Elephas maximus indicus: one gene and its partners. The protein of the gene in region 1 purifies or fractionates together with the protein of each later gene. This does not show direct contact. Links are inferred from orthologs where the notes say so. Each region holds a gene or a part of one and is shown on either strand. Other genes may lie near its edges. The genes, in order: MIOS, DEPDC5 and SESN2.

Region 1 (7,278 bases):
AAACAAGGCTCCAGGAATTGATGGAATATCAATTGAGATGTTTCAACAAACAGATGCAGCACTGGAGGTGCTCACTCATCTATGCCAAGAAATATGGAAGACAGCCTCCTGGCTAACTGACTGGAAGAGATCCATATTTATGCCTATTCCCAAGAAAGGTGATCCAACCGAATGTGGAAATTACAGAACAATATCATTAATGTCACACGCAAGCAAAATTCTGCTGAAGATCATTCAAAAATGGCTGCAGCAGTATATCAACAGGGAACTGCCAGAAATTCAGGCTGGTTTCAGAAGAGGACGTGGAACCAAGGACATCATTGCTGATGTCAGATGGATCCTGGCTGAAAGCAGAGAATACCAGAAAGACGTTTACCTTTGTTTTATTGACTATTCAAAGGCATTCAACTGTGTGGATCATAACAAATTATGGATAACATTGCAAAGAATAGGAATTCCAGAACACTTAATTGTGCTCATGAGGAACCTTTACATAGGTCAAGAGGCAGTTATTCAGACAGAACAAGGGGATCCTGATTAGTTTAAAGTCAGGAAAGTTGTGTGTCAGGGTTGTATTCTTTCACCATACCTATTCAATCTGTATGCTGAGCAAATAATCCGAGAAGCTGGACTAGATGAAGAAGAATGGGGCATCAGGATTGGAGGAAGACTCATTAACAACCTGCATTATGCAGGTGACACAACCTTGCTTGCTGAAAGTGAAGAGGACTTGAAGCACTTACTAATGAAGATCAAAGACCACAGCCTTCCGTATGGATTACACCTCAACATAAAGAAAACAAAAATCCTTACAACTGGACCAATGAGCAACATCATGATAAATGGAGAAAAGACTGAAGTTGTCAAGGATTTCATTTTACTTGGATCCACAATCAACAGCCATGGAAGCAGCAGTCAAGAAATCAAAAGACGCATGGCATTGGGTAAATCTGCTGCAAAGGACGTCTTTAAGGTGTTGAAGAGCAAAGATGTCACCTTGAGGACTAAGGTGCACCTGACCCAAGCCATGGTATTTTCAGTTGTATCATATGCGTGTGAAAGCTGGACAATGAATAAGGACGACCGAAGAAGAGTTGATGCCTTTGAATTGTGGTGCTGGCGAGGAATATTGAATATACCATGGACTGCCAAAAGAATGAACAAATCTGTCTTAGAAGAAGTACAACAAGAATGCCCCTTAGGAATGACACATTGTGAAAAATGTAACCAATACCACTGAATAATTTCTGTAGAAATTGTTAAACAGGAACTTAATTTTCTGTGTGAACATTCACCCTAAACACAATAAAATATTATTTAAAAAAAAAAAAAAGAATGCTCCTTAGAAGCAAGGATGGTGAGACTGCATCTTACATACTTTGGACATGTTGTCACCAGGGATGAGTCCCTGGAGAAGGACATCATGCTTGGCAGAGTACAGGGTCAGTGGAAAAGAGGAAGACCTTCAACGAGGGGGATTGACGCAGTGGCTGCAACAATGAGCTCAAGCTTAACAACGATTGTAAGGTTGGCTCAGGACCGGACAGTGTTTCGTTCTGTTGTGCATAGGGTCACTATGAGTCAGAACTGACTCGACAGCACCTAACAACAACAACGTCAAACCTCGTGCAACTTAACAAACAGAACTATTTTAAAAAAGAACAGAGTTTACTTTTTCTCTCATTAATGGTCTGGTAGTTTGTGGTTGGTTCCAGGAGGAAGTGCCTCATCTCTCCCAAGTTAGCCTGGGACCTAGGCTGATGGAGCAACTTGGCCTTCCTCAATACATGGTTGCCATCTCCCTTTCTTGCCATTTTCCAGACAGCAAGAAGGGATAAGAGAAGAAGATAGTAAGCAGCTTTACTTTCAAGGGACGTGAGCCAGAAGCCCTAGTCAAATCTTACTGGTTACAACTTTTTGACATAGCCACACCTAGCTATGCGAAAGGGAGTCCGTAGAATGTAGTTTCTAACTAGGTCATCAGCGCTCTGCTAAAACTTGTGGATGGAGATATGTTCTACTACAAAAAAGTAAAGCAACGGAAAGGAGACTGGAGATACAGAGCAGATATTCGAGAAGGGGAAAACAGCTAGAGGCAAATAAAGAGATGAATATGTATGTGAAGTTGTGGTAAGTGCCAGGATGAAAAATAAGGCAGAGAAACAGAAAAGCTAATTTATATGTAGTCAGGGACAATTGAGCAGAGTATCAAATGAAGTGAGAATATGATTCATGCAGATTTCTGTTGTAAGAGCATTCCAGGCAGAGGAGCAGCCAGTGCAGAGGATCTGAGGCAAGAGCATGCTTTTCATGCTCAACTAACAGCAGAGTCATAGGGACAGAAAGAGAACTAGGGAGACTGGTGATATAGAATCAAATGAAGAAAGTATTTCAAGAGAGAGAAAGTGGTCACGTGTGAAAGCTGCAAAGGTGAAGCCATGGCCAGTGAAACTGGAGGTCATTGAAAGAGCAGTTTTGGTGGAGTGGTAGACATGAAAGCCTGAGTTGAGTGAGTTCAAGAGAGACAGGCGGGAGTGGGATTGGAGAGAGCCAATATGGAACTCTCCTTTGAGGACAAAATGGGAGTGACACGAACATGTTTATATGTTGAAAGTAAAGAGCCAATAAAAATGGAGATGTTAAGACATATGGAAGAGGAGAAAATCGATAGCACAAGTTCCTAAAGAGGGAAACAACATGGGTTCTTCCTCTTTCTCTGTGTCAGCTAGAAGTTAAGAATGGAAGTGAATGAAGATGTTACAGGAGAGAAAGAGGAAGCCGTAGGAGGCTGTGGGAATTCTACCTAGTAGTCTAAATTTTCTTTCTGAAGAAGGAGGCAAAGTCATCTCCTGAGCATGAGGGGGAAAGGTTTTGCTCAGCCACGTATGGTAGGAGTGAATAAGAAAGAGACTTGTATTGATTCGAGGTTTTGTGTAGTGGTTTTGAAGCAGGGCCAAAACCATTGAGAAGATTCACAAGATAGTGTTTGTTCCAAGTGATAAATCTTGTGGTATCTTCCCTCAGGAATTCAGCACTTTCTTTAGTCTCCATTTCTCCAGTGGCAGGAGTGATAAGGAGCCTCAGATTTCCACAAGTAACAATTTCCCCAAACTCATCTTCTCACCAAAACTGCTTGCCTTGAACATTATCAGGACTAAGCTATTATACTGTGTACAGCAATCACAACAAGCCTAAAATCACCCTTTTAAGCAAGAACAGACAAGCAAAAAGCGCCAGACATCTCAAGAAAGCCTCTGTGTCAGTCTTGTTTCATCTGTATTCACTCACTCAGTGACTGTGGCAGCACTCTCCACTCAAATTACCAGAGCTAGAAAGCTGGTCACCATCCTGGACTCCTCCTTCTTCCTCCCTCACTCAATCATCAAGTCAGTCATCATTCCACCTTCTAAATTCCTCAGAGTACCAACATCACTTCATCCCTGTTCTACATATCTCTGATGGTGTAGGCCATCAGTTGTCATTCAGATACTTAGCCTAACCCTCCCTCCTTCTCTCCACACAAAAAACGATCATATCACAGCACCTGGTTAAAAATCCTCAATGACTCAACTATTTCCTTTCGGAAAAAGTCCTTCCACCCTCACTAACCTAGTTTCCAGACATCTTCCTGATATATTTTAATTTCTCTCCACTTCCACTTCTCACTCTAACTTCCAGCCATACTCTGCTGCTTCCCCGTTCTCTCCAACTTTCTCTGCCCTGTTCTCTTTCTTGACTAACCCCATACTTGCTCTTCATGTCTCAGCCTAGCGGTTCTGAAGAAAGCTTTCTTGACCTCCAACACTGAAGGGCGCCCCTCCGGTGTAGCACTGTACCAGTTCTAACAAGGCACCGTGTCCATTTTGTTCACTCCAGTATTCCCAGCATTCCAGGATGGTGCATGGCACGTAACAGGGGCCTCAAGACGCGTTTGTGGAATGAATGAATAAGTGAATAAATGACGCACGAAGTACCTTTGATTTTTCTACTATATCGCCTGCAAAATATTTTTAATGAAAATCGAAATTAAGCAAATGAAGCAAAGTCTATGAACTTATTCTTAAAAACGGTAAAGCAGATCTGAGGTGCAGTCCAGCCAGATCTGAGTGCACGATTTCCCGCCCGAGGCTCCACGCGCGAGGCGGGGCCCGCAGGTGGGCGAGAGCTCGGGTGCAAGGGGCGTGGATTCTCAGGAAATGATCCCGCCCCAGGGCGGGGCAATCCCCGGTGCGGGGGAGGGGCGGGGCTCAAGGGGCGGGGCTCAAGGGCCGGGAACACCCTTTCTGAGGCCAAGGCGCAGGCTGCACGTCCCGGAGGCGCCGTGGTGGGGTCTTGGTGCCTGACGGGGTGGTGCAGATCACTGGTCGAGCCTCCGCAGCCGCCATCTTGCCCGCGTCGGGACTGCCACGGCGGGAGTGTCGGCGACCAGGCCGGAAGCAGCTGTGAGCGGCCGCGCTGCCACCTCAGGTCAGTGAGTGCGGTCCGGGCCGCGTCTCCGCTCCCCGGAAGGCAGGCGGGCGTCCAGGGCTTGCAGCGTCGGGGCCGCCGCAGGGGGTCTGGGAAAGCCCACTTAAGCGGTGTGGGCGGGGACAGGCTGGGAGCGGAGGCGCGAGGTGCCCGGCCTGCGTTCCACTCTGCTGGGCAACCGCGCTGGGCGGTCGGCTGGGCCTCGGCTAGAGCTCCGGGGCTGCGGGCGGCTCGAGGGTGCGTGGGGCTGGTCTCAGGAGCGCCAGGCTGCGCTGCGGACTCCGCCGCTGCGGGTTTGTGCGGAACCGCGTCCGGCCTTTGACGGGAGGCTCAGCTAGTTGTCCGAAGCGTGGGTGTCGCCCTCAGATTCCTGATTTACCCGGAATAGCAACAAGCCCTGTTCCAGTTGTACCCTGTTAAATACTTCTTAAAGGATCTTTCACCCGAACGTTTGTTTAGCTCTGTTCTCTTCAAATACTGGTGATTTAAAATTCTTGAAGAGGCTAAATGAAGCTGCTCATTTAAGCCATGGGCATTGCTAAATTGCTTAGCAAATGACTTATTTGCAGGCCTTTTGTATAACCATTTTAAGGAAAATTTGGATACATGCAGTGCATCTCCTAGAACATAGTGATGGTAGGAATTTCTTGAAACTGCTACGGTTGTAATTTGCTGTGGTAAGAAAAGTAGAAGACAGAAAAAAAAAAGGGGGGGGTGTGAAAGGGTGATTGGATAATCCGTGCACTTAGTATTGTAAAAATTCGCGGTAGCCTCTAGCACATGGGGCCGCTGAGCACTTGAAATGGGTATAGTCCAAATTGAGATGTCACACAGGATTCCTAAGACTCGGTACACAAACAAGAATGTTAAAATTAATTTCATCTATTTGTTTTTACTTTTTTTAATATGGCTATTAGAAAATTTGAGATTCTATGGCTCACACTGAATTTTTGTTGGACAGTGCTGTTATAGATGTTCTGCAGATGAACACAGAATCAACATGGCTTTCCTTTGCTCAGAAACTGTTGATAGGACATGAGCACTTGTTAAACTTGAAGGTGAGGAGACAAATATAAGCCCTAATCCAGTGGATGGCAATGGAGTGTTTTTTTTTTGTTTGTTTTTTAATTATTGCAAACCTCATTTCCTGTATACCCCCAATTTGTCAATGCCTCTAACATTTGAAAACATTAGATGCCAGGGCTGTTTCAGGGAATGGTAGTGATACTAACATCTGTGTGATGTGATGAACTTACTTTGTTTAATTTTCACAACTTTGTGAGATAGAGATAGTATAGGTTCTATTTTTGTTTTATGGTCTTGGTGTAATAAGGTGCTTGTTAGGGTCTAGCTAATGAGTGGCTCTACCACTCATCTGTCAGTTTGTCGTACTGTGGTGGCTTGTGTGTTACTGTGATGCTGGAAGTTATGCTACCAGTATTTCAAATACCAGCAAGGTCACCCATGGTGGACAGATTCAGCAGAGCTTCCAGACTAAGACAGACTGGGAAGAAAGACCAGGCATCTACAAAAAGAATTGGCCAGTGACAACCTTATCAGTAGCAGTGGAATGTTGTCAAGCGTAGTGCCAGGAGATGAACCCCTCAGGCTGAAAGGCACTGAAAATACTACTGGGGAAGAGCTACCTCCTCAAAGTACAGTCGACCTTCATGATGATGATGGAGTCAAGCTCTTGCGGCCTTTATTTGCCGATGTGGCATGACTCAAAATGAGAAGAAATAGCTGCAAACATCCATTAATTGCAACGTGGAATGTATGAAGTAGGAATCTAGGAAAATTAGAAGTTGTCAAAACTGAAATGAAACGCTTGAAGATAGATATTCTAGACATTAGTGAGTTGAAATGGGCTAGTATTGGCCGTTTTGAATTCGGGTAGTACTGGCCGGGAATGAAAATTTGAAGAGGAATGGTGTCACATTCATTGTCAAAAAGAACATTTCAAGATCTATCCTTGAAGCACCTATTATTCAAATTTGCGCACCAACCACTAATGCCAAAGTTGAAGAAATTGAAGATTTTTACCAACTTCTGCAGTCTGAAATTGATCAAACATGCAATCGAGATGCATTGGTAATTACTGGTGATTGGAATGTGAAAGTTGGAAACGAAGAAGGATTGGTAGTTGGAAAATACGGCCTTGGTGATAGAAACAACGAGTACATGATAGAATTTTGCAAGATCAGTGACTTCTTCATTGCAAATATCTTTTTTCAGCAACATAAACGGCGACTGTACACGTGGGCCTTGCCTTATGAAATACACAGGAATCAAATTAACTACATCTGTGTAAAGAGACAATGGAAAAGCTTTGTTATCATCAGTCCAGACAAGGCTAGGTGCTCACTGCAGAACAGGTTCAAGCTGAAGCTGAAGAAAATTAAAACAAGCCCACAAGAGTGAGCAACATATGACCTTGAGTACAGGCATACCCTGGAGATATTGCTGGTTTGATTGCAGACCACCACAGTAAAGCGAATATCACAATAAAGCAAATCACGAATTTTTTGGTTTCCTGGTGCATATAAAAGTTAGGTTTACGCTATAGTCTGTTAAGTGTGCAATGGCATTATGTTTAAAAAAACAATCTACATACCTTACTTAAAAAAACGTAATTTGCTAAAAAATGCTAACCATCATCTAAGCCTTTAGCAAGTCTTAATCTTTTGCTGGTAGAGGGTCTTACCTCAGTGTTGATGGCTGCTGAATGATCAGGGTAGTGGTTGCTGAAGGTTGGGGTGCCTGTAGCAGTTTCTTAAAATAGACAACAATGAAGTTTGCTGCATTGATTGA
Region 2 (7,230 bases), on another chromosome or scaffold:
ACCCCAGATTCTACTCAGCGCAATTGTCTCAGCCAATAAACAAGAGACTGAGGTGGGAGAGTAGAAAAACACCTTTATTTTGTCGGGCAAGGAAAAGAACAGCCTGCCAAGACTGCTCTGTGAGGGCAAGAGGGAAGGCTGTTTTTAAGAGGTTTACGAGTAGGAAGTTCATACAAGTTACATCAACATTCTTAATCATACTACGCAGGTGCAACAGGGTTTACATATAACTTCATGCATCACGTGTTCAGAAAACTCCACCCAGAGGTGGGGAAGTTACTATGCATAGGTCTAAAAGGTTATCCTGAATATCAACATGGCTCCTAAACTGGTTTCTGCCAATTTCCTCTAGTTTTGAGCAGCAGTTAAGGAAAGGGGAACCAGGGTTTTAATGTAAAGCTTAAGGCCAAGCAAGCTGATTGAGGCAGTGGAATTTTTCGCACCTGGGGGCCTCTGTCTTATTATGAATAATGTACAGTTTTTATATAAACTAGGATTTTCTAATACAGATGCTATTGGACTGAATAAACTAGATATTCATTTTAAACCCATTCCTAAGTTTTCAGTATCCATATCTTCAAGTACTTTATCAGGCAACCGCGTGCCTAAAACAGAAGGTCTGAGAAACTTTTTTGTGTGAAATATGAGATTTTATACTCAAAAGGATTGAGAAGTAGTGGCTGAGTTTGAAGAGTCCTGGGCTGGAGGTAAGAAGACCTGGATTTATTTCAAATCAATTTCATTCCATGTTTAATGAGCATCTACTATGTGCAATGCACCACAGGCCCTGGCAGACAGCTTTGGTTTCCATGGGACTTACAGTCATGGCTGTTCCTTTTTTTTCTAATTGTGGTAAGATACGTAAGAAAAAATTTTGTTTTTTAACCATTTTTAAGTATACAATTCAGTGACATTACTTTTCACCATCTTGTGTAACCCTTACTGCTGCCTACTTTCAAAAAATTTTCACCCCTTAAACAGAAACTCAGTATCCCTTAAGCAATAACTCCACATTCCTCCCTCCCCTCAGTCCCTGGTAACCACTAATAAACTTTGGTCTCTATGCATTTGCCTATTCTAGATATTTAATATAAGTGGGATCATATATTTGTCCTTTTGTGTCTGACATTTCATTCAGCACAATGTTTTCAAGGTCAGCCATGTGATACATAGTATACAACTTCATGTCTCTTTATGGCTGAGTAATATTCCAACTTATGCATATACCACACACTTTGTTTATTCATACATCTGTTGATGGACATTTCAATTGTTTCCACCTTCTGGCTATTATGAATAGTGTTGCAGTGAAGATTGACGTGTCCATTTGCAATCCTGCTTTTAATTCTTTCAGGTACATACCTAGGATTGGGATTTCTGGGCCTACAGGAATTCTGTTAACTTTTTGCGGAACTGTTCAACTGTTTTCAATAGGAGCTATAATATTTTACATTCCTACCAGCAAGGCACAAGGGTTCCTATTTCTCTGCATCTTGAGGAACATTTGTTTCCCTTTTTTGTTTCTACTATCACAGCCATCCTAGCGGGGGTAAAGTGGTATCTTATTATGGTTTGACTTGCATTTCCTTAGTGACTAATGATGTTGACCATTTTTTCATGTGCTTGTTGGCCACTTGATTATCTTCTTTGGTGAAATGTCTATTCAGTTTCTTTGCCCATGTTTTGATTGAGTTGTTTGTTTTGTTGTTGTTGAGTTGTAGCAGTTCTTTATATATTCTGGATATTAGATCCTTATCAGATATATGATTAACAAATATTTTTTCCCAATCCATAGGTTTGTCCCTTTACTTTGTTTTTAAATTTCTTTGATGCACAAAAGTTTTTAATTTTAATGAAGTCCAATTTATTTCTTCTTCTGTTGTTTGTGCTTTTGGTGTCATAGCTGAGAATCCATTGCCCAAGCAATGTCCTGAAGCATTATCCCTATGTTTTCTTCTAACAGTTATTTGGTTTTGTTTCTTATATTTAGGCCCTTGACCCATTTTGAGTTGATTTTCATGTATGCTGTGAGGCATGGGTCTAACTTCATTCTTTGATTCTGGAAATCCCATTGTCCCAACACCATTTGTTGAACAGACTATTCTTTTCCTATTGAATGGAGTTGGCACCCTTGTCAAAAGTCAGTTGGCCAAAGATGTTTGGGCTTATTTCTGGGCTCTCAATTCTACTCCTATTCTTTGTTAAAAATAATAAAAACTCACTGGAATTTGAACATAAGGTTTATTCTGGGCAGTTATTCTATACACATGTAGGGAGGCCATTTTGAGTCCCTAAAAAGCAAATGGCTGAAGAAGCCAGGTACAATGGGGCTTATAAAGAAGAGGGAGAAATATAGAAGTTTAGTCATTGGGTAATTTTAACCTGATCGATTGAGCACTGCCTTCCCCCTTTGCTGAGATCAACTGTTACCAGTTTACTTCTGGCCTGGCTGGTAGTAATTTGGCCCTCAACCCACTCACAGCCATGAGGTTTTTTAAGATTTAAATTAGGAGGCCATGATTTGACAACTATCCTTTTCTAGCAACCCACCAAACCAATCCCACTGCCGTCGAGTCGATTCCTATTCATAGCGGCCCTGTAGGACATAGTAGAACTGCCCCATAGAGTTTCCAAGGAGTGTCTAGCGGATTTGAACTGCCGACCTCTTGGTTAGCAGCCGTAGCTCTCCTTTTCTAGGAAGATAAGCAAATTTACATTGCTAGAGAGCAAATTCTGGCAGGCTTTTGCAGTTTTGGTTAGGTTTTTTATGGTTAATATTTCATTTTGTGGATAAGAAAAACCTTGAAATCAAAGAAAGATGTCTGTCAGGTGAGGGCACTCTAAAATGAGGTGTTTGGCATGTGTAGGAATGACTGATTTAGGTCTGAATCAAAGCTCCATTTTTCGAACCAAATTTTAGTTTTTTCTAAGTCCTCATTTCTGACTTCTTAAGAATATCCACTGCTATTTTGTCACTTCTGACTCATAGAGACCCCCAAAGGGTTTCCAAGGCTATCTTTACAAAAGTAGACTGCCACATCTTTCTCCTGCAGAGCCGCTGGTGGTTTTCAGCTGCTGACCAGTCGAGTCCTTTAACCACTGGACAACTAGGCCTCCTTTTCTTAAGAATATTTTATATACAGCCTGTGTCTTAGTTATCTAGTGCTGCTATAACAATACCACAAGTGGATGGTTCATGAGCTTCCCCATTGAAAAATAAACCCTCAAGTTCCTCTGTGGTATGCGATGCTTGTGTGTGGGTTTTTTTTCTTTCAATATTTCTGCTTCTACACTTTTCAAAATCAAGAGATTTCCTGAAAACCATAGGTCAATTAGGTGCTTCTGGCAACTTGTCAGGAGCCCTTGGCAAGAGTCAGGCACAGCCTACCCAGCTTTGAGTTTCTCCCTGAAGAATGATGTCCCAGCCGTCATTAGACCGAGTGTGTGATACGAAGATGCTAGTTAATACTCAGCCGGTCTTACTAGAGTCAGGATCCACTCATGCTTCCTTCCTAGGAATTCTGTCTCCACAGCCTCAGTTCCCCACCTGTGAAATAATGATAGTATCTTTTTGAACCACCTATTAGAGATATGCTGATTACATAAAAATGTATGTCAAAACTATGGTCGCTGAAACGTCATTTGGGATTTGGAAGGTTTTGTAAAGCCCCCCCCCAAGTGGAAACGTCCCAGCAGGTGCCATCACGCTACGTCACATGGGATTAGTCCTCTGCATTTTACCAAAGTCCTCTCAGGAACACTTTTTGGGCTTCGCAGTAGCCCTGACGGTGGTCAATTTCGTTTATAGACCAGGAAGCTGAAGCTCAGCGAGATCTCGGGAGGCTCGCCCGAGTCTCCCCAGCTGGGGATCATAAAGTCTGAAACGCAGCACCAGACCACGGTTCCCTTCGGAAACGTCTGGAAAGTAAAGGATTTCCTACCGGGCGGCGAGCAGCTGCTCCGCAAGCGCGAAACGAGCGGCGGCGACTCGAGCGGCACGCAACGCCCCGCCCCCCCGCGAGCCCCGGATGAGGAAGTGGCGCGGTCATCGAGACGAAGCGGAGGCCGGGCCGGAGCGGCCCGGGACTGGTGGGCGGGAAGGGGGCCGGGCCCCGGGGCGGAGCCACCGGGGCGGCGCGGGTTCTCAGGTGAGCGCTCCGCGGTCCGTGCAGGCCAGCCGGCGCCTCGGGCTCGGGGGAGGAAGCAGAGCGGGCGGTGGGGTCGTGGGGTCGTGGGCCCGGCGCCCCGAGGAGGCGCGCGGGATCCGGTGATTGTCTGGCCCGCGAGGCCCCGGAGCCACGGTGAGTGGAAGCCACCCCGGGAGCGGGCTCGGGGTCGTGCGGGAGGGGGTTGCAGCCGGGGTTCGAGTCGGCCCCTCTTGGAGCCTTGGCGACCTTTGCCGTGACATGTGGGAGTGGGGGGCAGTGGGGAGGCAGGCGTGTCCGCTAAGCCTTTATACAAATGGAGGTTCGGAGAACGAACCCCTGCCAGCCTCCTTCACAGTCGCCTTGCCCAGGACATTGACGGCGAAACGTTTAACAGTGGACGTGCCTCTTAGTCTCTGAGTGACCTTGGGCGAGTCCCTTGCCCATTCTGGCCCTCACTTTCCTCATCCACAGAACATCTGAATATTTTTAATATTCAGATGCTCTCGGTTTAGATGGAGACAAGATCCACTCACTGCAAGTCTTCTCTTTAGGTGTGTGTTAGAATGTCATCTTGGAGGTTGGGCTAGACACTGGCCCGAATTCCTCTTAGTTCCCAGATTCTGGGGTCCTGTTTGTTCTGGTATTTGTTCTCCATCCCTCCTTGTAATTGGAGGAGTGATTTTATCCAGGGGTTGGTGCTGCCTCTCAGCTGAATATTTCCACTGGACCCACATCAGAGCAGTTGCAAGGAAAAATTTGACATTCCAGCCTTTTTGTTTGTGTATCAATGGCAGGGAGGCAAGATGACTTCTCTCCCCCTGGATTGGAACAGCTGAAGGAAACAATACAAGATGAGAACAACGAAAGTCTACAAACTTGTCATCCACAAGAAGGGCTTTGGGGGCAGTGGTCAGTATTGATCTTTGTGAGTTGTGTAAATTGCCTGGGATTCTGGTGTGTCTGTTGCTTTGAAAACTACACACTGACTCGTGACAATTGGGGCTACATAGGCAACTTAACTGAGGGAAGCAGCAAGCATATTACAGTGATGGGAAGGGCAGTCAGACTAGAGAACACAGGTCCTTTCTGAAAGCATTCACATTCGGACTTTGAAGAAACCATTCATTCATTTAATTGTTTTGTTTACTACATATTCACCATATATATTTTGTAAAATTTCAGTCCAGTACTGGTGTGAAAGATAACAGAAAATAAAGTGGCATTTATTTTCACATTTAGTGAGAGAGAAGTAGTGTAGGTGTGCACAAGACAGAGTTGATCACAGTGTGAACTACTGCCTGGCTCCCAAGCATGGTGAGAAGGGGCAGGATGCAGCATGTTGTCCTGCACGAAACTGTGAGTTGGGAAAACCAGCATCTGAGGGCCAGTCCTGACTCTAACTTTTCCTGTCACCCTGGGCAAGCCAAGCCCCTCATTTGTCTTAGCTGCAAACTCAGGGGCTTTGGAGTAGTTTCTGTATTTCTCTTAGCACTGGGAGTCTATGAATCCGCACGATAGGAAGGTACATAGTACCGAACCAAAACCAAACCCATTGCTATTGGGCCGATTCCAACTCATAGTGACCCTGTTGGACATGATAAAACTTCTCCATAGGGTTTCCAAGGCTGTAATCTTTATGTAAGCAAACTGGCACATCTTTCTCCCGTGGAGTGGCTGGTGGGTTCAAACTGCCGACCGTTTGATTAGCAGCCAAGCACTTCACCACTGTACCACCAAAGCTCCTTAGGGACTTGGTAATATGGTGTAGCTTTAACTTTTCCTTGTGTCTTACAATCTTCTTTGCTTCAGAAATGGGAATTACCAACACGATATGGTAGCTTCTATATCATAGGGTGTTGTGAGGATTAAGTAAGGTGATTCACGTAAAGTGTTTTGCAGAGTGCAGGGCTCGTCCTTAATAAATGTAGCTGTTGTAATTACTGGGACAAAGATATATCAGTGTTGCTATATTTAAAACCCAATTTCTGCTAAAATGTAGTCTGTCGTCAACACTATACTTTGTATGTTGTTGATGCTGCCTAAACATCTGTGGAGTAGAATTGAAGAGATGGCAGAAATAATTCTTGGCAGAGGGACAGATACAAAGTTACAGTATATACAGTGTCACTGTACAGTTCATATTTCATGTTTACAAGACAAATGTAGCTGGGTGCTATACCCAGTCTTTTGCGGGACTGGACTATAAAGAAAATAAAAATACAACTAACTTATATGTTAGGTTTATACCTGTGCCAAACATAAAATGAATACAAGGTCCCTTGTCCCTAAGGAACTCTGAACTTGATGAAAGAGACAGACATGCAATAAGGAAATGATAAAATGAAGCAGAATGAAATATGTGCTTAGGGAGCTTAATTCAGACTATGGAGGTTAGGGGAAGGCGTCACAGAAGATTTGGGATAAAACCATCAATGGAAACAATATACCAAATAAAATTTGGAATTTACCCATTGCTTTGCTTTACAAGACTGAATTTTTGTTGGGTATTCATTTTATGAGCCCTTTTTTTTGGTGGCACAGTGGTTAAGCGCTTGGCTGCTAACCAAAAAATCAGTGGTTTGAACCTACTAGCCACTCTGCAGGAGGAGGATATGGCCATCTGCTTCCATAAAGATTACAGCCTTGGAAACCCTATGGGCTGTCCTCCTCTGTCCTGTAGTGTGGCTATGAGTTGGAATTGACTTGACAGCAACACGTTTTTATCTTTTTTATTGGTTATGTTAAGGTCCCTGAGTGGTGGGGAAACCCTGATGGTGTAGTGGTTAAGTGCCACAGCTGCTAACCAAAAGGTCAGCAGTTTGAATCCACCAGGCACTCCTTGGAAACTATGGGGCAGTTCTGCTGTGTCCTATAGGGTCACTGTGAGTTGGCATCAACTTGATGGCAATGGGTTGGGTCCTTTTTTTTTCTGAGGTGGGGAAAATGGTTTGTGCTGGACTGCTAATGTAAAGGTTGGTGGTTCAGATCCACCCAGTGGTACCACAAAAGAAAGGCCTGGTGATCTGCTTCTGTAAAGATTACAGTCAAGGAAACTCTATAGAGTAGTTCTACTCTGTAACAC
Region 3 (7,727 bases), on another chromosome or scaffold:
CAGCTAAGCTATTATGAGGCAAATAGTTATGAGCATTTATTAGGTGCTAAGAACAGTGGAGGGCAGGGGATGAGATCTGCAGGATGTATCCTTTGGGTGCTTCTAGTCCAGCAAGAGAAACAGAAAAGAAGTACCTAATTAAATTATACAACGGTTTCACTACAATTGGGACAAAAGCTCCTAGGCAGCGGAAGGGGGACTGAAGTCGGTATGCACAAGGGACTTATCTGATGGGGGAGGAAAGGCCTCCCCAAGGAAGTGATATTTGAAGAAGTAATTTAACAGCCCAATAAGACTCTGAAAGCATACTACCAGCACTAGAGTGAAGCTCTCAGAACTTACTGGAGATACATCTATCTCAAGGCCTTCACCCACTCAAAGGGCATGTTGTGAACTCACCAGAGTGCTGAGGGGGCTGCACATCTGGGTCTTCAGTGGGGCCTTGGGTACCATGCTCTGTAAGATCAGGAGCACCCCACTGTCTTCTGAGGGTTCCTGCTTAAGCACACAGCTCCTTCACAAGGTCCTCTTTTCTACCAGACACCACCAGCTTTCCCCACTGCTGACATCTAAATGCCACTCCCTCACAGCCTGCCCCAGCCACCTGAGCCATTCCATTCTCCTCTGACCACTTCTCAGGCACTGTCCCAGAGAGGGATGCACACTACTCTCATCTCAGACAGGAGGGTAAGCTCAGGCATCCCCCTGTGAGACACTGAGTAATGGGAAATGTATGTCATGGCCACATTCTCACAACAGTTAGCATGTCAGATGCAGTTACTATGTTCCAGGCATTGTGCTTTGGTCTTTTGCTTGTATTCTCAGTTAATTCTCCCGATTGTCATTCAGGGATACTATCAAATCCCCATGTGAAGAAGGTGTGGACCAGAGAAGGTGATCACTTGGCCAAGGTCACACAGTGAGTGAGTGGGAGGGCTGGCACATGAACCCAGCTAACTCTGGCTCCAGTGCCCAAGTGCTCTCAGTAATAACATTTCTGTTTTTTTTACAAAGAAAGAAACAGACTCAGAGAGTAAAATGACTTGGTCAAAGTCACATGGCTGAGAAGGAACAAGAGTGGGGGCCATTCCTCCCCATGTAGCTCCTAACTATGGTCCAAACAGAAAAACCAAACCTGTTGCCATTGAGATGATCTGAGACTCGCCTCTCTCTGTCCTTATAGAGACCCTATAGGACAGAATAGAACTGTCTCATACAGTTCCCAAGGCTGTAAGTCTTTACTGAAACAGACTGCCACATCTTCCTCCCTGAGTGGCTGGTGGGTTGAACCACCAACCTTTTCAACCTTTTGGTTAGCAGCAGAGCTCTTAACACTGTGTCAGCAGGGCTCCTTAAACCACGGTGGGGGAGGGGGGATTAAACTCAAACTAACAGAAATCCAGGACACAATCCCTCTACCACTGAAGCTAGGAGCCCCAGAAACCATGTTGCTCAGAGAAGGGCAGAGATTTTCCCTGTCACACAGCTCAGGACTATCACTATTCTGACTCCCATCCCCAGGAATACACCTGCTTCAAGCTGCCTGGAAAGAAAAGAAACAAGCAAAACTCTCTGAAGTGCCAAGCACACTCTGAAATCCTAGGGACACTCAGGCCAAAGAATGAGCTCCCTGGGTGAGGTTAGAGAAGGGAATCTCTCCCTAAGCCCCTCCTGGGCTTCAATTTTCTCATCTGTAAAATGGGGCTATAGTATAGCTCGCATTTTGCTGGTTTAGTCCTGAGGATTTAGAGAAAAAGCAGGCCTGGCATCTAGTAGGTCCATTATCGCTTGTCGGTGAATGTCAGTCAGATTAGGCCCAACCTTATTCCTGGCCTCACCGCAATGCCTTTCCGGGGTACAAAACAAACTTCAGGGCCATCAGACCACTCAGAAGGGCACTGCCTAATCTGCGCTAGGCTTTGGGAGCGCAGCCTGGGTTCCCCCCACCCCAAGCCCCTCTCCTGCCATCTCTGGCCGCGGCCACCACCGGCCGGGCAGCCAGCCAAGCCCCCGGAGCGCCCGCGGCCCCGCCCCCTCTCGCTAGCAGACCGCAGCCCTCTCCAAAACAGGGGGTGCAGGAGGAGCGAGGGTGCAGGGAGGGGGACCAGGTCGGCCTTCGCCGGCCAGCCCTAGGTGCCCGACTGCCGGCGCTGGGGGATCGGAGCGGGGACGTATCCTAGAAAGAGTCCCCTGCCCGCCTGCCCCCGCCAAGAGGAAGGGAATCTACGGAAGGGGGCGGGGAGGAGCGGTCGGGCCGCTCGGGACGGGATTTGCCTGGACTTGAAGACGCTCTCGACAAGAGACCAGACACTAGAGAACCTCGGGAAGGCTCCCTTCTCATTGGCCAGGGGTCCGAGGGAGCTGGGAGGGCTGCGCAGCCCCGGGGGGAGGGGGGCGAGGGCCAAGGCTGCCAGTTGATGCAACCCTGCTCCTGGGTTACGCGCTTCGCCCCGCTTCCCCGAGCTCGCGGGGCGCACGGACTTATCTCGGGACAGCCCGAGGCTTGGACGCGGTTCGGGCTTCAAGAGAAGAGTGGCGTCGCTCGGCCTCTGCTTACCTCTCCGGCTCCAGCGCCGCCGCCGCCCCGGGTGAACGGCAGGTAGCCCTTGAGCTCCGCGCGGCGCTCGGAGTCCGCAACGATCATGGTATGCGCCAAGATCGAGCCTCTGCTCGCAGACGACCGGTGCACCGGAGCGGGAGTTTGGTCGGACGCACGTAGGAAGCCGGGACCCCGGGCAGCACGGGAGGTTCTAGAACCCTGAGGTGCCTCTCGGGGCTCCAGAACGCTCCGAAAGCCCAGAATCCGAGAACGGCAGCTGCTGCACTGGATTCTCCTCCAGCCCGGTTTCTGGAACGGTAAATGGCTTCGGGCTCCGACGACTGGTCGCAGCGCGGGGGTTTTCACGGCCCGGGGCGCCTCGGAAGTCCGCAATGGCCAGGGCTGCTCGCGGACTCTGCGCTCCTCAGCATCCCCGCCGCGGAACTGCCAGCGCTCCCTCGGCTCTGACACTCAGCCCGCTGCGGTCCCCGGGGGAGGGCGGGGACACAAAAGCCCCGCGCCACAGCCAATCAGATGCTTGTTTCCCGGGTAGGCGGGGCGACACCTCCCTCTAGGGCCGACTACTCAGCCAATCGGCACCGGGAAGCGCCCGGGAACTCTGGGAGCTGTAGTCTGGCCCAAACGAATGCTGCAAACTTTTGCAACAGGGTTTTGTCAGAGCGCAGGCAATACCAGACGAGAGTGACGGCCCGGAGAGTCATTAGGACTGTATGATGAAACGGGACTTCACCAGGCTGGACCTGAGAGCCAAGTGTGAAATCCCTCCCAAGTGCATCCTTCAACTTTCTCGCTCCTGGAGAGACTGGTTAGAGTTAGGAGAGGTTTTGGCCCACTTTGTTCAATGGTGCTAATAGTAGAGTATTTCTACTACTTGAGAACACCTAACAACAACTACAATAGTAGAGCTGAACATCAGATCTTCGGAAGTCAGAGGGCAGAGCCCTATTCCCCCTAGGCTCCGGGAGGACTCAACTTTCAAATGTACCACGAATAGGGAAACCACCCTATTTGGGGAGTCTCTGGAAAAAGCCTTCATTCATTGAAATGCCATTGGCAACCTATGTCTAACCTCAATCCCTATTGCCGCAGTTTCCTCCCTCTGCTTCCCTGGGACCTCAGGTCCTGTTTTCCATTCTTGCCAGCCACCTACTTGAAACTGTGACAAGGTGTTGTGCTGGGTCTCTTCTCCCCTCTCTCTGGCCTCTCCTCTGACTCCTCTTTCTCCCCCCACCCCCTGAAAGTGGGTGTTCCCCAAGTTTCTGTTTTTATTCCTCTCTCCAGGCACACTCTCACTCCCTGATCTCATCCACTTCCTGGCTTTTGGCAAGGAAGTCACCCCACCAACACCTCAAAGCTGAATTCCTCCCCCATCCTCTTCACTCAGAGCCTTCACAGATTTTCTTGAGTTCCACTTTTTGTTTCAATTTTAAAGGCATTGTCTACCCTGGACATGGATCCTGGCAGAGCAGGGGTCTTCTCTGATATTGAGTCTAGGATTATGATTCCAAAGATGAGCCTCTGACTTGGTCTCCTGCCTCCAGCCTTTTGGGAGATGGAAATTAATTTCACCTTCTGTCGAGTTCCCAAGGCACTTGGGCTGGGTCTCTATTATAACACTTACCATACTCTACCCTGTATGGTAATTTTCTGTGTATAGGTCTCATCTGACCCTTTTGAGTTCCTTGACATCTTTGTCTCCTGCCCTATTCCTCCTAGCACAATGTCCTGCCAATAATACACCCTTGGTAACTGAATTTTCCTTTGAATGGAATTCTCCTCTAAACCACCTTATGTCAGATTGAACGTTCATTGAAAAAATTTACTCTGTAATGTCAATCTTCAGATCAAAAAGCTTTAATGGTATTTCATCAACTACAGAATAAAGGTCAAACCCCTAGACTGACATTCAAGGCCTACCAAGACCTGCCTCAACTTACCTTTCCAGTTCTACTTGCCACACCCATGTCCTTGTTTGACCTTCAAGCTTTTCTTCCAGTAGTTCTCTCTGCAAATCTCTGCCCATTGAAACCCAATCCAGAATTCAATGCCTTCAGTTCTTCGTGGTCTGAATGAAGGTTTCCAGCTACCACTTCCTCCTCCAGGTGTTGCTTTTTCGGCCCAGCTAAAAGTAATCTCTCTTACTCAACTCCTACAACACATTGTTTCTACCTTATTATACTTCTGGTTTCTAAACTGGATACAGCTTTGCTATCATGTCTGTATGTTTACCTTCTCCCTCCAGATAACAATGGAATATGTTATCAATTACTTTTACAAAGTTAGGGAGCAAGCTCAAACAGGTAAAATTGCTTGTCCAACATCACAAGAGATCTTCTTTTGACTGCACCAGGCTGTGCCAGAGCTCCTTTAAGGCAGAAATTGTCTAATTGTCTCTGTATTCCCTAACAGCATGCAGTGGATCCTCAGTAAATATTTTGAAGTAATGAGTTTTAATTACTTTCCTCTGTAGAATAACCCTTCAGAATCTTCAAGGATGTGACTAAATCATTCCCATGGTTTCACTTACAAAGTTAGTAATTTTGTGAAAAGGAAAAGCAGAGATACTGATATTCTAAAGTGGATGCTCTTTTGTGACCCAGTCTCCAAGGAAGGAAAGATTGGAAGAGGCAGGGACACTGACATTGGTCCAGGATACATCCGTTGTCTCATGTAACTCTTACCACAACTTTCTGAGGTTGGCAGTATGCTCCTATTTGACATATAAGGAAACTGAGACTCAAGAAGTGTGTTGACCAAGGTCAGATAGCTCATAATAGGCCGAGCAAGGAATCAAACCCAGGCAGGAATGACTCCAAAGCAAAAAACACCACTGTGTCACTAATGAAAGATGGAAGTGAACATGTAAGGAGCAGGCTGGTATAAGAAACTGATGCTTAAAGCAGAATTCTAATATATTAATTGAGAGCAAAAAACACTACTGTCAGGTGGCTTATACTTGGTGGGCCGGCACATCCCTTCTTGTGAGAAAGTCTCCATGAAAAGCCAAGTTATCATCTGAAGGTGACTAGGACAGCTGGAATCTGAGCAAAAGGAACCAAGGAAAAGGTGAATCATTGAACTGGCTCTACTCAGGGCAAACCTGCTGGTTAGGGCCCTGGCTGCTTCCCTCCCTCTTTCAATTCAGTAAGTTTTATTGACCATCTAATGTACACCAGGAGTCCGTGAGTGGTGCAAACAGTTAACATGCTTGGCTGCTAATTGAAAGGTTAGTGGTTTGAGTCTACCCAGAGGTGCCTTGGAAGAAAGGCCTGGCAACATCCAAAAAATCAGCACATCGAACACCCTGTGGGGCACAGTTCTACACCGACACATATGAGGTCGCCATGAGTTGGAACTGACTCAATGGCAACTGGTTAGTGTATACCAGGCACTGTGCTGGGCTCTGGAAATTCAGTAGTGAAGCATCCAGCCCCGTGAGGTGTGGCCTGGTGACACAGGCTGGACACATTCCCTCTCCTCCACACTTTTTGTTTCACTCTCCTCGAGTTTTGAGTTCTGTAAAGATCTCCTCCCTCCTGTTGCCATACTCTCTTGCACCAGCTGTGTTGAGGACACTGATTGGCCAAAGCTTTTTTATTCCTCAATCATATTCCAGTCCTGAAGTGACATCTAGATTTGGCTTGAAGTATTTCTGAGATTTCCTCAGTCTCGGACCCCTCTCAGATTATGACTCTAATGGTAGTCCTCATGTGTTCTATTTTCATTCTTCCTGGATTAATTTTCCAATCACATATTCTGGGGTCATTTTACTATAATGACCTTGTATCTTGACTATTCCTGGGGCAGTGATTTATCACCCCAGATGTCATTTTTTTTGGTTCTTCATATTGTTCTTGTTTCTCCCCATTTCCACTCTCATCTCAGAACACAATTCTGGCCCTGGGGGAGCTTTCAGGTAAGAAGCCAAATCCCGTCTGGTTTGATAAAGCCAAGGGAGACCCACCCTCCATGGTTTATTCACAGATTCATTCTTTTTAATTACTCATTAAGCAGGCATGGTGCTACGTGCTGAGGGAGGTCCTTCACTCACCTAGCTGACAGGTCCAGAACTGTCAAGCTTCAGAATCACAATTGGAATTGTCTCCTGGAGCTGCGAATTAGGGGGCAGGCTCCACAGACCCTTGGAGAAGAAGCCAGCTACCTCCTGGGTAAGTGGAACAGAAAGAGTATGGCCCAGGAATCAGGAAACTCAGGTGCTAGTTTTTAGCTGTGTGACCCAAGGTGAATTTTTTCAGCTTTTAGGATGTTTCCTTGTTTGCAAAACAAAAGGAATTGAAATTAGCTCTAACCCTCAAGAGCCACTGTGGAGAGTACTGGTGTTGGGCAATGCATATAATTCTGTTTCCTCGGCTGAATACTAAGGACAAAAACTTCAAGTTTGAAAAAACTCTCCCTTCGTAATAAATACAATATGAAAACTGACCAGCTTGTTTTGTCGGGTGAGGGAGCCCTCGGCGCCCCCTGCAGGCCGGACTCTGCTACAGCTGAGCCCGAACAGGCTTGTAAAAGGGGTGGCTTGAGGGTCACCCCAGTTTTGAGTTTACAGGATTGTGAGGTTCCATGTCACCGCCGGGAAGTCCTGGAAAACGGCTAGGTGACAGCTAAATAAAGACAGCGTGGTTGCAGAGCATTCCCCTGCTGCCCAGAGGGACCAGACTCCCAGGAGACTTTATAGCCTGGATGCACTTCCCATTTGTTTCTTTGTCTTACAGACTGGAAACCTGAGGCACAGAGAGAAAAGAATTTGCCCAGGGTCACCGAGCAAGATGGCCACAGAGCAGAGACTAGAACCCTGGGGTCCAGGCCTCTAGTCCAGGGCTACTTGCACTATAATAGGCTGTCCTAGGAGCCTCACATTTCCAGAAAGAACAACTTCTGTCTTTGCTCTAGTGTATTCCCCTCTCTTTCCCACCTCCTTTCCATTCTTAGAGGACCTATATGTCCCCAGAAAGCTGATCTGAGTCCTGTCCCTGGAACAATGCCCCTAGCCCTTGCCACCATCTTGTCCCACCTCGCTCTACCCTCCAGACTTCGTTTCGCTCCAAAAAAAAAAAAAAAAAAGCTGGGCGTGGAGTCAGGCTATCTGAGTTGAAGGTTCTAGTTCTAACCTTTTCTATATGAACTTGGGCAAGTTAAGCCACTTCTC

The links.
Region 2: the proteins of MIOS (region 1) and DEPDC5 purify together in Homo sapiens (affinity purification with western blotting; 3 studies listed by BioGRID and IntAct, with this or other methods). This does not show direct contact. The link is inferred for Elephas maximus indicus from reciprocal best matches to the Homo sapiens genes MIOS and DEPDC5.
Region 3: the proteins of MIOS (region 1) and SESN2 purify together in Homo sapiens (affinity purification with western blotting; 5 studies listed by BioGRID and IntAct, with this or other methods). This does not show direct contact. The link is inferred for Elephas maximus indicus from reciprocal best matches to the Homo sapiens genes MIOS and SESN2.

What each region holds. Positions count from the first base shown.
Region 1 is NC_064826.1:68,300,301-68,307,578, forward strand, and holds the start of MIOS (GATOR complex protein MIOS), read left to right. Parts: upstream 1-4,262; 5' UTR 4,263-4,467; intron 4,468-5,384; 5' UTR 5,385-5,525; intron 5,526-7,278. UniProt on the Homo sapiens protein: As a component of the GATOR2 complex, functions as an activator of the amino acid-sensing branch of the mTORC1 signaling pathway. The GATOR2 complex indirectly activates mTORC1 through the inhibition of the GATOR1 subcomplex.
Region 2 is NC_064840.1:24,435,751-24,442,980, reverse strand, and holds the start of DEPDC5 (GATOR complex protein DEPDC5), read left to right. Parts: upstream 1-4,158; 5' UTR 4,159-4,301; intron 4,302-4,942; 5' UTR 4,943-4,999; coding exon 5,000-5,057; intron 5,058-7,230. UniProt on the Homo sapiens protein: As a component of the GATOR1 complex functions as an inhibitor of the amino acid-sensing branch of the mTORC1 pathway.
Region 3 is NC_064821.1:68,706,483-68,714,209, reverse strand, and holds the start of SESN2 (sestrin-2), read right to left. Parts: upstream 3,007-7,727; 5' UTR 2,645-3,006; coding exon 2,558-2,644; intron 1-2,557. UniProt on the Homo sapiens protein: Functions as an intracellular leucine sensor that negatively regulates the mTORC1 signaling pathway through the GATOR complex. In absence of leucine, binds the GATOR subcomplex GATOR2 and prevents mTORC1 signaling.